Linked DNA regions of Sus scrofa. The protein of the gene in region 2 interacts with the protein of the main gene of each other region in a pairwise test. Links are inferred from orthologs where the notes say so. Each region holds a gene or a part of one and is shown on either strand. Other genes may lie near its edges.

What was found.
Region 1: the proteins of ARNTL2 (region 2) and CLOCK interact in binary tests that used the Homo sapiens proteins (3 or more experiments, as listed by UniProt). The link is inferred for Sus scrofa from reciprocal best matches to the Homo sapiens genes BMAL2 and CLOCK.
Region 3: the proteins of ARNTL2 (region 2) and NPAS2 interact in binary tests that used the Homo sapiens proteins (3 or more experiments, as listed by UniProt). The link is inferred for Sus scrofa from reciprocal best matches to the Homo sapiens genes BMAL2 and NPAS2.

The regions. Positions count from the first base shown.
Region 1 is NC_010450.4:54,906,854-54,912,017, forward strand, and holds the start of CLOCK (circadian locomoter output cycles protein kaput), read right to left. Parts: upstream 3,340-5,164; 5' UTR 3,161-3,339; intron 3,069-3,160; exon of another isoform or gene 2,876-3,068; intron 2,124-2,875; 5' UTR 2,040-2,123; intron 1,338-2,039; exon of another isoform or gene 1,304-1,337; intron 1-1,303. UniProt on the Homo sapiens protein: Transcriptional activator which forms a core component of the circadian clock.
Region 2 is NC_010447.5:46,479,104-46,484,384, forward strand, and holds the start of ARNTL2 (aryl hydrocarbon receptor nuclear translocator-like protein 2), read right to left. Parts: upstream 3,267-5,281; 5' UTR 3,178-3,266; coding exon 3,141-3,177; intron 3,106-3,140; exon of another isoform or gene 2,992-3,105; coding exon of another isoform or gene 2,955-2,991; intron 1-2,954. UniProt on the Homo sapiens protein: Transcriptional activator which forms a core component of the circadian clock.
Region 3 is NC_010445.4:53,487,131-53,492,522, forward strand, and holds the start of NPAS2 (neuronal PAS domain-containing protein 2), read right to left. Parts: upstream 3,246-5,392; 5' UTR 3,184-3,245; intron 2,576-3,183; exon of another isoform or gene 2,425-2,575; intron 1-2,424. UniProt on the Homo sapiens protein: Transcriptional activator which forms a core component of the circadian clock.

The DNA.
Region 1 (5,164 bases), on a different chromosome or scaffold from region 2:
AGGCTGGTGGAACCTAAGTAGTTTTCTATTGGCCCGCACATGCAGGAGAACAAAAGCAGTTTAACCTGTGAGCTACTGACCAGGTCAAAACCCTAGAAATGTGGACCCTAAAGAGTCCTATAAAAGCCACGGACTCTAAGTCTAAAGGTAAATTCAATCCACATCAGATTAAAGCTCACAACAGTGAGAGCTCACTACAAACCGTAACTGTGCCCCAAACTAACCAGCCCCTCACCAGTGAAAAGATGAGACTGTCCTAAGGCGCATACTATATGTTAAACTTTCTGACACACTCCAGGTCATTTCCCTGACCTGTGACACTAACAGAGCTCACATTGAAGGCAAACAAGCGGACAAAACAAGACAATTCAGTTCTCAAGACTGAAAATTCATGTTTGTAAATGCACAGAAAAAGAACTCGAAGGTTATACAACACTGTTAACAGCAGTCATTTCTGCAGAGATGTGAGAAGAGGTGGACACGTGCAAAGGCTGCTTCACGTACATATACACTGCATTGTTTTAATTTCTCATGAACACCACTCTACTTCTATAATTTGAAAAACAATAACAAAATTTTAAGTAAAATTTTGAAATGCAATTCTATTTTTTCAAAAAGACTGAATAGACCCACATGGAATTCAAATGAAAAAATATGCATAAGTTTGACTAGAGACCTCTAAGTCAAACAAAAATAATTATCCTATCGTACAAAATAAAAAGGAATACTGGAAACATAACGAAAATGCCCACAGTAACTGTCAACCACTACTCAACATTCACTACTTTCATTATATTAGCATCCAAGAGGTTCTGAGTACCCTTCCCCAAATCATGTACTGTGTGGAGCAATCAATAAGCCATAAAAAAATTTTGATGTTCTGCACTGACTGCTAGTTTTAATTCCCCGAAAGTACTATAAAAATAAATATACATATAAAGTTACATGTCACTGAGGTTCATATCTGATTGTCTTGAGAAAAGCATTTCCCAAATCTGCAAAGCAAACTACCTGGACAAACGATTCTATTACCATTTTAATGGAGTGCTCATACTCTCCAACTATTTGTCATGACAACTTTGGGGTTAAAAAAACTAAAAGTCAAATTTTATGCAAGTATGATTCCTGAAAAAAAAAAAAAAAAAAAAGGAGGCAAACCATGCTCTGAAATCTTTATAATCCAGCCATAATGCCAAATGTAAATGATGTCATATTTCGGCAAAGTAAAATGTGACTAAACAGCTTTAAAAATTAAATGTGACACCAGCACCTTAAAAATCGAGGCATAGACAGCCAAACTTACCCTAAGCTTTCTTTGAATTTTACAGCTCATTTTCCTTAAAAATATTAAGAGAAATCATGTTGAAAATGTCCAAAATCACCATAAATTAGGAAAGAGAAATAAGCAACAAACAAAAACACATAACAAGTTATTTTGGAAAGAAGGACTTCTGTTTAGTTTATGAATCCATAATACAGTCCAAATACTTTAAAAATAAGACATACACAACGTCATTTCCCACCATCCCCTCATCAGGCTCCTTCCCCCTCTCGCCCACCATTACCAGTTCTGCAGTTTCTCCCTTTCCAGAGTCGCTTTATACTTAGAAAAGCAAACGCAAGCTTGTATTCTTATTCCTCGCCTGTCCCCTTAACACACAAAGCAGCACATTATTCACACAGCCCTACATCTTTTTTTCACTTCATAACATATTTTGGAGCTCTTCCCAGGTCAGTACACAGAACCCTTCCTCATTGTTTTCTTTCATAGCTGACTATGACCAGTTGTCCCACAACTTTCCTTCTATCTTCCTTAGGCTAACCTTTAATGACGTTCTCATCAGTTTACTACTTAACACCTGAGTTAGTTTTTCCCCCTCAACAAGATTTTAAACAGAGAAACCCACTCATTATATAAATATAGCCTTTTTAGAACCTTTGTTTTTCAACCAAGTGGAGGGTAAACACTGCACAATTTTCTCCTCTCATCATTTAAAATGAAGCTACAAATTAAAATGCAAACTTTCAAGTTTGATTACCTTTTTTTGATTCGGGGGATCAGCGTTAACAGCCAAATCAACAAAAGCTGTAAAAGTTTCTTTACTTCTGGTGCTTTTCTTTCGCTGTAAAAGAAAACACTGGTTTGGTTTGGTTAAAGTTAGAAGGCTGTTAAGTATTAGCGTGGCATCCTAACAGCAAGAAATCGCCACCTGATTCCACGTCTCATTTGCCAGGTCAGAGGGGAGGCTTTGCTTTGTGGACTGCTCCACCGGCAAAAACGCACTCGGGGGCTTAAGCTCCGGGCGCTCGGCGGTGGAAATGACGATCCGAGGGCCAGGGCGCCAGGACCGGCTCCGCAGGCGGAAAGGGACCGGGAAGGGCAGGCGCCATGAGGACCCGGCCTGGAACCGCGACCACCAACGGAACTAGCCCTCGGGCGGCGGCCCCGCGGACAGCACGCCGGGAGGGCGGGGGTTCCCCGAGGAGCTGGCCGTCCCCGCGCCCCATTGGGCGCCGCTCCAAACGTGCCCGGGTTGTGACAGGAATAAAGTGGGTCACAAGGCCTAGCGGGTCCCAGGCGAAAGCGCTCCCCGCACCAGGTCGCCGGCGGTCCCGGCCGCTCGACCGCTGCAATCGGCCCCAACCCAAGGGAGCGCTCTGGCCACCGGGCCCCGCCGGGCACCCCGATCCCGCCCCTACCCCGCAGGTAACCCCGCTGTCCTCGAGGGCCCCGCGCCGCCGGGCCTCCGCCCAACTCCCGAAAACACTCACCAGGGTGAGAGGCAAAACTTGGCTCCAGCGCCCGGCCCCCCGCCGGCCACCGCCCCCAGCCCCGCACGCCGCCCCCCCTCCCTCCCCTTCCCCGCGCCCTCACCGTGTGGCGCGCGGCGTCTCCGGCTTCCTCCCCACCCCACCCCGGGGTCCGGCGGCGGCGACTCGGAAGCGCAGACCCGGCCGGGTCCGGGATACGCGGCGGCCCCAGCACCAGCAGCACCTGAACGGACGGCGCCCCCCACCCAGCCCGAGGCACCGCCACCGCCGCCCGCTCCTCCTCCCCCTCCCTGCCTCCCCTCCTCCACCGGCCCCGGGAGCGCATGCGCCGCCCAAGCCAGCCGCCGGCGGACGTCCAGCCAAGGCCCACCGGGTGGGCGACACTCACCGGGAGCGCGCACGCGTCTGGGCCAGCTTTCCCTCGCGCTCGCGCCCTGGGGGTTTCCTTTTCAAAGCGGGCAGTCGCAATCCGCGTCGGAGAGTGCGCTCCCTCCGGCGCATGCGTCCTCGTGACCCCGGGCTCCGCCGGCCGGCGCTGTGCGTCCGCCCCTCCCCTCGCTCTCATCTCCCCGGCGCGGCTCGGCGCGCATGCGACTTGCCCGTTAGGCAGCGCGGAGCAGCGAAGAGATCCCGGGGCCCCGGGCCGCCCGCCGCAGGGCGGGAAGGAAACCCCTAGTCTCCCCGCACCCCGCTGCCCGCACGGTTCCAGGAAAGCAGGGGAGGCGGGCCTGGTCGGCGGAGGGCGCGGCCGGCCCGGGCAGCTCTAGGGAGGCGGCTTCGGCTTTCACCCTGGATGCGGGGAGCGGGGAGAAGGAGAGGGTGGTTCCAGGCGGAGGGGTCCCGAGGAATCACCCTCTCCTTCTTCCCGCGGAGGGGTCTCTCTGAGAGAGAGAGAGAGGCGAATGACTGCCAGCGCCAGGGGAAATTTTCCGGTATTGGCAGGCGCAAGAGCTTTTTCCCTTCTCCAATAGCATCCCTTGCGCTTCGTTTCTTGGGTCTGGAAGAGGGAATTTGTGAGGGTGACTGAGCTCCAGACTCTTCCTTTGCGCTATCCTGGGGGTGCACTGCTTTAGTTGCTTCTCGCTGGAAGGTGGGCCTGAGGAAACTGGGCGGGAGCCCTGGCTGGAGGAGGGAGGCAAAAGAAGGTACGGCTGTGCCGCTTTGGAGTTTCTTACTTGGCCTTAAAGGCCAGGTGACAGTATAAGGCAAAGTGGGGGGTGAAGCTGTAGGATAAACCAGGACCCTAATTTGCACCGCTTCCCTTGTTAGAAAAACGTGTGAGTACTGCGCACTTATCTTAGGATATCCTTATCCTAATAGTCCTTATCTTAACCTTTGATAGTTAAGACACTTGGTCCGCACGGGAAAACGTATTTCGGCGGTTGAAAATTATTGGAAAAGAGGTCTTTACAGCCCTGATTCCTAGTAGTTTTCACATTTTAATGTTCTTTGGATTTGAAATAGAAGTAGTCGTCCTGTTTCAAAAAATAAACACCTGTTTTGACTATAAAATCCTCCCCTCAAGGTAACATTCATATCAGTAAACTTTTCAAATTCTTGCTGTGTACTCAAGATGAAAAGAACATTACAACTGAGGAACTTATTCAGATCCCTGATCGTTTACATGAGCGTTTTTCCGACACGAGTGGGAAATTCTAATGGAGTCATCAGTAGCAGACAGAAGTTTAGTAGACATTTTTCCCCGGTCAGCCTTCATTCCCTACTCTGATAGTTTCCTGGAGAACTATCCTTTCTTCACTCTCAGACCTTTGGCTGGGGCAGCACCCCAGGGGAAAACATATTTGAGTTAATCCTCTGCATTAAACTGGACTTAACAAGAGGAGTGATCTCTCTTTTTCCAATGGATTTAATTCTGGAAAAATGGAGGCCTGAAGCCAACTTCCCACTCACAGAGTCTGAGAAAGAAGGCAGCATGGAAAAAAGCAGATTCAAAAATGGAGATGTGGGCTGCAAACGTGTTTTGATGCCCTGAATTTAATGTGGACTACATAACTGGAAATTTCAGTTAAATTATTCAATAAATTCATGTATTTACTGCTTAAACCAATGAGAGGTTTTCTGTCACTTGCAATCAAGAATCTTAACATAGCCAGAGCAAGAGAGGAGGTAAGTTTAACAATACTGAGGGTACAGAAGCTTGCTGAATGCTTTTCCTAGGGTGTGGATGTTTGGATTTTATGCTGGAGAAAGTGCTATGTCCTCATATTCTACATCATCTGGAACACATATTTTCAAAATACCTTTGCCCTTTTTAATGATTCCATTGTCCTCTTAGTCACTGGGAACAAATCATATTCATCTTTGACTCCCCTCTCACTTTCTGTATTTAATCATTTACCAAGACCTGTTGATAATCCCCTGTTTTTTGCTC
Region 2 (5,281 bases):
CCAGATCTTTAACCCACTAAGCGAGGCCAGGGATCGAACCCACATCCTCATGGATACTAGTTGGGTTCATTACCACTGAGCCACCATGGGAACTCCCACCCTGGTTTATACTGAGTAACGCATGTCAGGCTGAAACTCTGCCTAAGGATCTAGGGCAGGAAGAGCAGTTTATGCAAAATTAGGATACAACTTTTGATGTCTGAGTCACAAAAAAAAAAAAAAATGAATTTAGGCCACTATAATTGCAGAAAGAGGTCTGGTAACATCATAGGTAAAAGCATGAGATGGTTTAAAAAAAAAAAAAAAATAGGAGGGTGTTGAGAAAGTTGCCCTTCGGATGCCTAGACCCAAAGCCAAGCCTGGCTGTTAGTCTGGGGAATGTGCTGCTCCCCCAAGATCACCCTCTAACTAAAGGATCCTGGAATCATTTACTGGGAGGACGCCCAGTCACTTGGCAGCTTGCTTGATCATGGTGTTTACCATAAGCCTGTTGCAAAAAAGTAAATGAGCAGGCAATTATGTTTGGGGGGGGGAATCTTCAAGTCTAGCCCCCAAGATTTTTTTCAGCAGTGTAACCAAACCATGGGGGGCAGTTTTCTCTGCACCACCAGTTTTAGATTTTTATTCTCCCATGAGGGCCCTAATGTCAAAGTGCTTAGGAAAAAAGGAATCTGCAGGGATTTTGTGCAAAGGAAAACAACAAGGCCATGGATTCTGTTTTGTTTTGCTCCCCCCTCCCTGCCCCCTGAAACGAGGATCTGTAATAGTATTTTTTTTTTCTCTACCTCTTAAGATAAAGAGGGTGTCTGGAAGTGAGCATACTGCGGATTAAACCATGCAGTGAGATGAAAAGAAAGAAAAGCAGCATGGGCAGTGTCCACAGATTTTTTTCAGTTTTGCCACTTTCTGGCTACAGCCTCAGTTTTCTCATCTCATCTTTGACAGGGAGATAATCCCACTTACATGACAGGGCTGTTAGGAGATGAAAGATGGTATCCCTTTCAAAATGCCTGGTCCATGATAGGACCTCAATAAATGCTGGTCCTCCCAGCTCCCATGCTAACTTTGCTCCTCTTACCTAAGAAAGATTAATTTGGATCATTCCTAACCTAATATCTGATATTCTGCTAAACAACAATAAATTCTTTGTCCAAAAACTTGTTGTAACACTTACCTGGTGAAAGCCCTGTTTTGAATTAGTGGGTGTATTTTCACATCTCTTTTTTCAGAAAAGCCCAAATTCTTTCAATGTGGCCAGTTTTAACATGCATGCAACAAAACTTTCTTAATAGGCTAGAAAGATTTATTGCTTTTGGAGTTCCTGCTGTGGCGCAACAGGATTGGCGACGTCTTAGGAGCACTGGGATGCAGGTTCCATCCCCCATCTGGCACATTGGGTTAAGGATCCAGTGTTGCCACAGCTGTGGCTTAGGTCAAGACTGTGGCTTGAATCTGATCCCTGGCCTAGGACTTCATATGCCTCGGAGTGGCCAAAAAAGAAAAAAAAAATTTTTTTTTGGAGTTCCCATCACGACTCAGCAGTAACATCCCAACTAGCATCCATGAGACTTGGGTTTGATCCCTGGCCTTGCTCAGTGGGTTAAGGATCTGGTGTTGCCATGACCTGTTGTGTAGGTCACAGACGTGGCTCAGATCTGGCATTGCTGTGGCTGTGGTGTAGGCTAGCAGCTACAGTTCTGATTTGACCCCTAGCCTGGGAAATTCCATATACTTTGGTGTGGCCCTAAAAAAGAAAAAGATTTATTACTGACACCAAGAAAATGGAAGCTGTAAATTAAAATATTAGGCTAATGTTTATGGAGTACTTATTACTTCCCAAGTAGTGGGTGAAGCATGTTATATATATTTAAAGGCATTTATATCTCATTTAACCCAAACAATCCTGTAAGATACTGTAATGATCCCCATTTTACTGATGAAGAAACTAAAGCTAAATAACCCTAGTGACCTAGTAAAAGGCAGAGTTCAGTCACAGCCAGAAATGAAAGGATGTCTCAGCCTAACACGATGCGTACTGCCTTCTCTTTTAAAACCAGTGCTTACTCACATCTTTATATCATGCAGAAAGGCTTCAAATATTCAAATGATAGAATTTTAGAACTCTCCCCATGATCCAAATCCCCAAACTGTATTAGATTTTCAAAAGCATCTCCTCTTATTGCTGTATTTCAGAGAAGAACCTAAACTCATTCCAAAAGGAAAGTGGAGTAGTAAAATACTTCTCCGAACTTCTCTCTGCAGTCTTCCTTTAATTTTTCCATGTTTTTTTTTTTTTTCTGGCCTCCCATTTGTCTTAAGGAACAAATATTTTATGATAAGCGCATAATTATGAGTAGTCCCATGGAAGAAACCACAGAATGTCGCCAGGGAATACGAGAGGAAAAGAGAGCAATGCTTCCAGCTCAAATCACAAAAACTAGCCCCCCCCCCATATAAAACAAAACAAATTCCACTAGTGGCGTTCCTAAAGTTGAAAGGGCACAAGAGCCGCCTGTCGCTAACAGAGGGCTGTAGTGTGGCAAAATATGACTTTGCAGATTGAGAAAAGCGGGCCTCGCCTGCGGGTCAGACGGCATCGGGTCAGTTTCCGAAGAAGGGAACAGAAGTGAGTCTTTGCAGTTCAGAGGGGATGGGCTCGCAGAGCCCGATCTCGTTCAATGGCTGATGACAACTGGGTTATACAAGAGGAAAATGAAATCCAAGAAGTCTGTGCAGCAGTCCCTGCAGACGTCTAAGTGGGCGCCCAGTGGTCGGCGAGGGTAGGCTGCTCGCCATCACAAGGTGGATGGTCTCTCGCCAGCTCACTTTCACCAAAGCGCCCAGCCCGGGGCCAAAAAAATTGGGCTGCGTGCAGCCCGAAAGCCGGCAGCGATCGCGGGCGTCACTCCCCACCTCCGACTCCAGGGAAGGACTCGCGGGGCGCCGCGCCTCACCTGTGCCGCAACGAACGGCCTGGGCTCCAGAGTCCATCCGAGGTGATGCCAAGTGCGAGGAGAGCCCCCAGCAAATTGCGCCCACCCGGCGTCTCCTGGCCCGCCTCCCGCCCCTCAGCCCAGCCCGAGCGCCCCAAGCACGACGGGCCCAGCTCCCACACCTGGAGTCGCCTGCCACAGCCTCACCTCTCGCCGCCGCCGCCGCCTCCTTTTCCGCCGCCATCGCTGTAGCCACCCGGCCGGCTCCGCAGCCCTGGGGCCGGCAGCATGGAGAGCCCCGGACCCGCCCTGCGCGGGCCCAGGCGGCGGCTCCGGGGCGGGAGCGCGGGCACCCGCGGGGATCTGTCTAGTGCCGCGGCGGCCGCCACTGCAACCCCAGGGCGCGCGGCCAGCGGGCTCTGCAGGCAGTGCAGCCAAAACTCGCCAGCGCGGGGATCTAGGCGCCGCGGGGCCTGGGGCCAGAGAGAGGGACCGCGCGTGGGGCGGAGCCACGGCGGCCCCGCCCCGCCGACCCCTGCGGCTAGAGGCCAAGTGCCGAGAGGCTGACAACGTAGCACCTTGACCCTTTCTGGGAATCCGGCTACTTAAAACAGGTTTTCCCAACCACTTTAAGATTCGTTAGCTGCCTGTTCCAGGGGTTGGAATTGTTTCACTTGGGGGGAAAAGGTAAAGAATGGATGGAGATCATTGCAAGGTGGGAGTTACAGAGCGGGGGAGGAGGACGGCAGCGAGAGCTGGAAGCAGGACGTCTCTGATCCTTTCTCTTTTCTATCAAGGAAGGGCTTAGCTGCAGAGATGAGGGTACGATGACAGAGGGGTCACCGAGGAAGCCGTTTGGGATCCTGCAATGGTAGGGTAAATCCGAAAGCAAGATCACTCCCGTCCCTCGGGTCCCAAGGCTTCCTTGGCTACGGTTTTCTAGTAGAAGTAGTGGAGGAAAGGAACAGCAGAGAAAGCACCAAAGCTTTGCATCAACCAGCCTAAAACTATTAATTTTCCTACCAGTACTCTTCATTACAGCTTCGTAACTAGTTGCTTGTTGTGTCCTCAGGGCTACTTAGGGCCGAACCTGGGCGGGGACGTTGGATGCTTCGGATGGAAGTAGCCAGGACCGGAGCAGGGCACCCGCAGGGCTCTGCGGTGTGTGTGGCGGGGGCGGGGTGGGTGTGGGGGGAACAGTCTTAATTGGGAACTGGGACTTGATCCTGCTGGAGGTGGAGGGAGATGCTGCCCTCAGTAACACACACAAAGAGACAAATCACTAATCAAAACCATCCTTTTGTCTTTTTTTTTTTTTTTTTTTTTTTGTCTTTTTGAGGGCCGCGCCCGCGGCATATAGAAGTTCCCAGGCTAGGGGTCTAATCAGAGCTGTAGCCGCTGGCCTATGCCAGAGCCACAGTAACGTGGGATCCGAGCCGCGTCTGCAACCTACACCACAGCTCAAGGCAACGCGGATCCTTAACCCAATGAGCGAGGCCAGGGATGGAACCTGCAACCTCATGGTTCCTAGTCGGATTCTTTCCGCTGGGCCACGACGGGCCTCAAAACCAATCTTGAGGGGTTCCCACTGTGGGGCAATGGGTTAAGAACCCCACTGCAGCTGCTAGGTTTGCTGCTGGCCAGAGCAGTGGGTTAAAGGATCCGGCGCTGACCTGACCCAGCTGTAGGGTAGGTCTCAGCTGTGTGGCTAGCATTCAATCCCTGGTCCAGGAACTTCCATCTGCAGGGATGCGGCCATAATAAAAACAAAGTAAAACACACACACACACACACACACACACACCATCCTCTTGGAACGCAGCCCGATATCCACCAACACCAACTTATGTGGGCATCTAGAAAAGAAAAATTCCAGAGAGCCTGGCAGATAGTCTTAAAATCTGTTTTGAGGTTTACCAAAATGGAGGCGGGGGGATACTCTTAGACCTGGATGTGTGTTAAATGCCACCTTAAAGACAGAGTGGAATTGCTGGTTGAAATGTATCCTGAAGACTATGTAGACACTGTCCTGCTTACAAAGCATTTCCCTCCTTTATCATCTCAGGTGAGCCTCACAGCAGCCTTTGTGAGGTTGTTAAACACATATAATCCTTGTCTTCTCTGTAGGCAAACAAAAGTTCAGGGATGAGTGTTTTGGCCAGGATCACTCAGATGATAAAAGCCGGATGGTAAATGTCAGGTCGCCTTCTTAGGAATTGATACGTGGTATTATAAGCTTTCGGGTGAATCACTGCAGTCCTCATTTCTTAGAAATGATGATTCACTTCCACCAAAAGCCTGAAAGCCAGAGAAAGGAATGCAGAACCTAAATATAATAGCAGGAAGTC
Region 3 (5,392 bases), on a different chromosome or scaffold from region 2:
GCACTTCGCAAGGGCCCCAGTCAATGCCACGCACTGTAAAGTTTGAGACCAAACATTCTGCACCCTCCACCTTTTTCAAACAGTTATTTTTTTATACCAATTTAAAAGATAAACTCTCTTCTATTCCAAACCATCAAATGGAAACCACACATTGTCTTATGACCCATGGAAGCTCAAGTGATCTCTGGGGGAACTTGACCTAGAAATTACTTTCCTTAAAATGCCAAGTGGTCCCCAGTTTCAAAGAATTCAGTGAGAACACCAGTGCCTGAGACGAAGACTGCTTTTCAAAAATTTCCCTTTAAAACATAGGTTCACATGTACTAAGTGTTATTTAGTGCTCTAAGGTGCTATTAATCATCATCAGATTTAAACTAGAATTACTCAAAGTACCGCATTAGCATTCAGCTATGTCTGACCTCTGGATAACCATCATTGACGAGTCAGCTCATTTCCTACACCTACCTATGCAGCATCTATGATGAACAAGGCCTCAAAGGGAGGAGATGTCGTGGGGACTCAGTGTCACAGTCCCTGACTATGCCTATGCCACAAACTTAATGAAAATCAGGAACATGCTAATCCAACATTCCTGTAAGCAAATAATGCATCGAGTATCATTCCAATATTTAAATGCAAAACTCATTCAGATGCTTCTTTAATGCAGCCAATTAGACCACTGGCATAAGAACACCAAGAACACTGCGGTACTGGGTTATTTTCAACACCTCACAGTCTGACTCCTCTTGGGAAAAAGATGCTGCCGTCTGCATGGGGTCAGCATGGGACAGTCAGGGTCCGGATCACAATGGAAAAACCGACTTTTCATGGAAAGAACAAAATACATACTTGTTTGAAAAATTAAAGAAAAGGACTTAGCCCTTTAGATGCTTAAGGCTCAAAAGCCAGACTTATGAAAAATTACCATATAAAACTGGTGAGAGAAAAAAAACATATGAATGCATTATGGTTTGAATCTAAAAAAAAATTATTAATTTTGACTTTGTAACCCAAAAACAAGTAGCGGTGCTGAGAGCCAGCTATAAAGATTATTGAGAGTTAAGAAAGATGGTTCCAAAAAAAATAAAAGATGAATTCGACTGCCTAACCACGAGGTGGGTTATTTATAACTATCTTTATTATTTTATCATTTTCATTAATAATTTATTAATTAGCCAGAAACAGTAAAAAGGGCCTAAACTCTTACAAGAACCAAACGGACTTAAAAACAATTGTAATTGTTTTCTAGAGAAAGATGACTTCTTTCGTTGCCATCTAAACACTTTCTTCTCATATCAGGGTATTTTTTTTCATCACAGCAATCAGTGAAGCCTCACTTGGCTCGTTTCTTGGCATACCTAACTCTTTGGGGGGGATGTTTTATTAATAACATATTTCCTCCAGAATATATTCCTTTCTCTGGCCTTCGCAAGAGTCATTCTGGGGAGCAGTGAGAATAAAACCAACTCTATACCTGCCACAGTGGGACAGATCAGCAAATAAATAGAGGCATCGATTTCCAAGAAGAAAATGGCTAAAAGCAGCATATTTACAATTCTTCTAAGCCACACTCCACCTCTCTCTGTGAGATGGAAGACAATTATTGAAAGCTTTTACAGCGCACACTTTATTTTTAACTAAATCTTTAGGTAGACTGCTGAGAGATGCCAATACCTCTACCCGTCCTGTTTAGCTGCACCATCAAACAGATTTTTTGCTTTTGCAAAACACTGGCCCAAGCCTGAACAGCTCTTTTAAACATCATATTTATAGGGGAGTTATTTTAAAATGCTTTTGGAGGTTATTTTCGGCAAACATTTCCTTTAAGAACTCTTAAGGGCAGCAAGAGCTGCTACGTGCCCTTGAGTTTTGAACTGACACCTCCTAAGGTGGAGCAATTAAAACTTGCTGTGTTTTAATGCAAGCCATAATGAGTCGGTCAATTCACCGACCCGGGATTGAGTTGGATAGTGTTTGATAGACAGAGATATGGACAGAACTGAACCTTGCCAGGAACTACTTTTTGAGCTAATTATCTGGAACGTGCAAACGGGGAAAACCCTCCTATTAAGGAAAAGAAGAAATGAGTCCTAAATGATCTAGAATGATCAGCTCCCCTCTGCTAATTAATTTAATAACTACTCAATATTTAACCGGAAAGAAACAGGCCGATCAATTTGATGAATCAAAGGATCAGGTGCTAAAGACCAAACCCGCCGAGCTCTTCCCTCTTGGACCCCTCCTGAACACCTGTTGAGCTCTGGGGTTTTTAACTTTCCGAACTAAAGCCTCGCAGATACAACCCTGTTATCCTTTAGACTTTCTGGAAGTGCGTGTGTATTTTTAAGGTTTCCATCTTGCTTAATCAACAAAACTGGTTACTAATTATTTATGAATCACAGGGCCGAAAACAAACTTTCTTACCTTGAGCAGTTAAGGAGTGGCAAGCAGAGGAGCGGGTTGGTTTTTAATTTGGTCCCTACCCCCCACCCCAGTTCCGCACCCTGCACGGCTCCATGGAAAGGTCAAAGGTAAGCCTCCCTCTTCGGCTCTGGGAGAGGAGGGGGGCACACCTCCCAACAAAACAACACGCTGGCATCCAACCTGGGGAGCTCAGAATGGCAGGCCGACGCAAGGGGCCGGGCTACGCGCTCTCCAGGCGTCCAGGGGGCCGGCTCAGCACCCCTTCCGGCCCAAACCAATTCCGATCTAGGGACCGAGAGAGACCTCGGCCCTGCAGCACGCACGCCGCACTCTCCCGGGGTCCTGGCACCCCCATGCTCCGTGGGGCGCGCGATGGGCTCAGGGAGGCCAATGGACGACCTTCGAGGCTGCTATCTGGGCACGGCCTCCACCCACCCCGACGGTACTCAATGAGCACCCCAAATCCTGAGGCTCAGGGTGTCTTGTCCTCTGCCTCCTACGGCGAGACGCACACGGAACCCACCAGTCCAGCTGCCGCTGCGGTCCCGCAAGACGCGACGTCCCGGCTGCGGGGACCGGGGACTGGGGGTGGGGCCCCACCTCCTCTCGCCGCCGACCCCCGCGCGGCGCAGCCCGGGGCCGAGCGTCCCCCGGGGGGCCCCGCGCGCCCACCGCGCCAGCGAGCAGGTGACCGAGTCCCGAGACCCAGTGCGCACGCCCTCCCACCCGGGCCCCCGCGTCCCCCGGTGCGGCCCTTACCTCGGAGCGGGCCGGGGCGGCCCCGCGGGGCCGGGCGCGGACTGGGCCGGGGAGACGCGCCTCCCGCCACCGCCGCTGGGAGCCGAGGCGGCGAGCGGGCGCGGCGAGCTCCTCCCGGGCGGCGGCGGGAGGCGCTGCTCTGGCTGCCGCCGCCGCCGCCGCCGCGGCTGCGGTTCTCGAAGCTACGCGGCCGCCACTCCCGGGCCGCCGCCGCCGCCGCCGGTCCCTTGGCTCCTGCGGGAGGCCGGCTGCTCGCGCGGCAAACTCTTCCGCACGCAGAGCCGGCGGGGACAGCCGCCGCCGCCTCTTCCTCCTCCCCCTCCCTCCTCCCGCCTCCTCTCGGTACTCCTCCTCCTCCTCCCGGTCCTCCTCCTCCTTCCCTGAGCTCCGGCTGCCGCCGCCGGCCGGGTGTCTCCTGGCCGCACGCCGGGCCCTGGCCGCGATCCACCCTTGGACACGCACCCTGCGCGCCCTACGGGCAGATGGACCCTCGGACCCCTGCTTCCCTGGGCGGCACAGACACCCGTGCCCCGAGGCCGCCGCCGCTTCTGCCCGCTGCCAGGGAACGCGCGGCCGGGTCCGGCTGGGGGCACAGGGTCGGGACTCGGCTCAGGGCGGGGGCTGGTGTGTGCCTAGAGCGCAGCTGGCCCGAGGAGAGACCAGCGGATGCCGAGCTGCCGGCTGAGGTCCGGTTAAAGTTGTCAATAGGGGTGGCAGGGAACCTTCCTCCCCGGCCAGGTGCCGACCCACGCCCAGCCCGCTGCCACCCCTCGGTCCCGTGCTTTGGGAGCGAATACGCCACTGTGGTCCCCTGCCGCCGTCCTCGCGGGGCAGGCCTGCGCACGGAGCCGGAGCCATGGCACCGGGCGCGTCTTTGCAGACGGACCGCTGCGCTTTTCCTACGAGCCCCAGCGGGGGTCGGGGAGACATGGGCGAGCGCCCTTTGCGGAGGACCTCCGCGCCTGCTGGGGAGGAATGATCGGTGTTTCTTCCAAGGCGAACGTAGCCGGTCCGGAAAAATGGGTCAAGGATGGAAAGAAGCCGGCCCATTGCCCCCCTCCTAGGCAGAGGCACGTGGGCTGGGGGGCCATGGCCAGGAGCGCGCACCCGGAGCTCCGCGCTGCTGCTCCTTCCCCTCCCCTGCTGCCCTCCTCTCCTTTTGCACCAGTGCAGGAAATGTTCCACTGACCTACATATTTTTCCAAACATACGTGACCTTTTTTTTTTTCCCTCTGTGGGAGGAGACAGGCGAGAATCCAAGAAAAGGAGAAGCCAAAGCTGCGCGCGAGGAAACAGGGAGGCTTTCAGTGAGGCTCCCGCAAACAGCGAACACAGACAGGCCCATAAATATTATCTCTGGGAGCCAGGAGCTGCTGTGCCCGAGCTCAGCGGGGCTCCAAAGCAGAGCCTGGTGGAAAAGGGAGACCGCGCCCCCCGCCGAGGCCCGGAGAGATCTCTAAGACTCGAAGACCCCACTCCGTTCCCTTCCGGCGGGGCGGCGGCGTTCCTCAAGTGGAGGCGCCTCCGGAGACATCCCCTACCTCCAGGGGAGGTCACCCTCTAGGTCACCTAGAGGTACAACCAGGAACCTTTTTAGGATGTCCCTGGGTCCTTCCCACATTCCGACCAGTAGCCCTGGAGAGGAAAGCTCCCCACTCATTCTTTTCCATCAGATTAGGTTTTCTAGACTAGAAATCTCCTAAGGCCTCTCTTCTGAACGCTGGCAGCAGACTGGAATCGCCCCCCACTAGGTTCCAGGGTCCTTGCTTTATCTACTCCCCACTCAAGTTCAAGGCAAACCCTCTCCCGGGGAGACCGACCCACAGCGCCTTATTTGGGCATGCAACCCAGCACTGTCAATTAGATCAAAAAAGCTCACCCAGAGCTCCTTTTTCCCCCCTGTAAAGTAGGTCATTCTCTTTATTTCCCACTTGTATTATTTTTGTCTAATTCGCCTGCTGAAAAATAATCAGCTGCAGGAGCTTTGAGCATCCTAAGAGAAGCTATTATTCTTAGGCTTGCTTCTGACTTGGAGGGCTTTTCAAGGAGGAGGAGGAGGCACTTGGCACACACTGTAGTTTGAAGTCCCTCCCTTTCCAAAAGCAGAAAACATCATTTTCAAAAATGAAGTCATTTTATTTTGCTTTGTTTTTCTAGGCCCTCCCTTTCCTTTAGGCAAGTAGCTTTTGCCCTGCCCTTAAGCATGGCA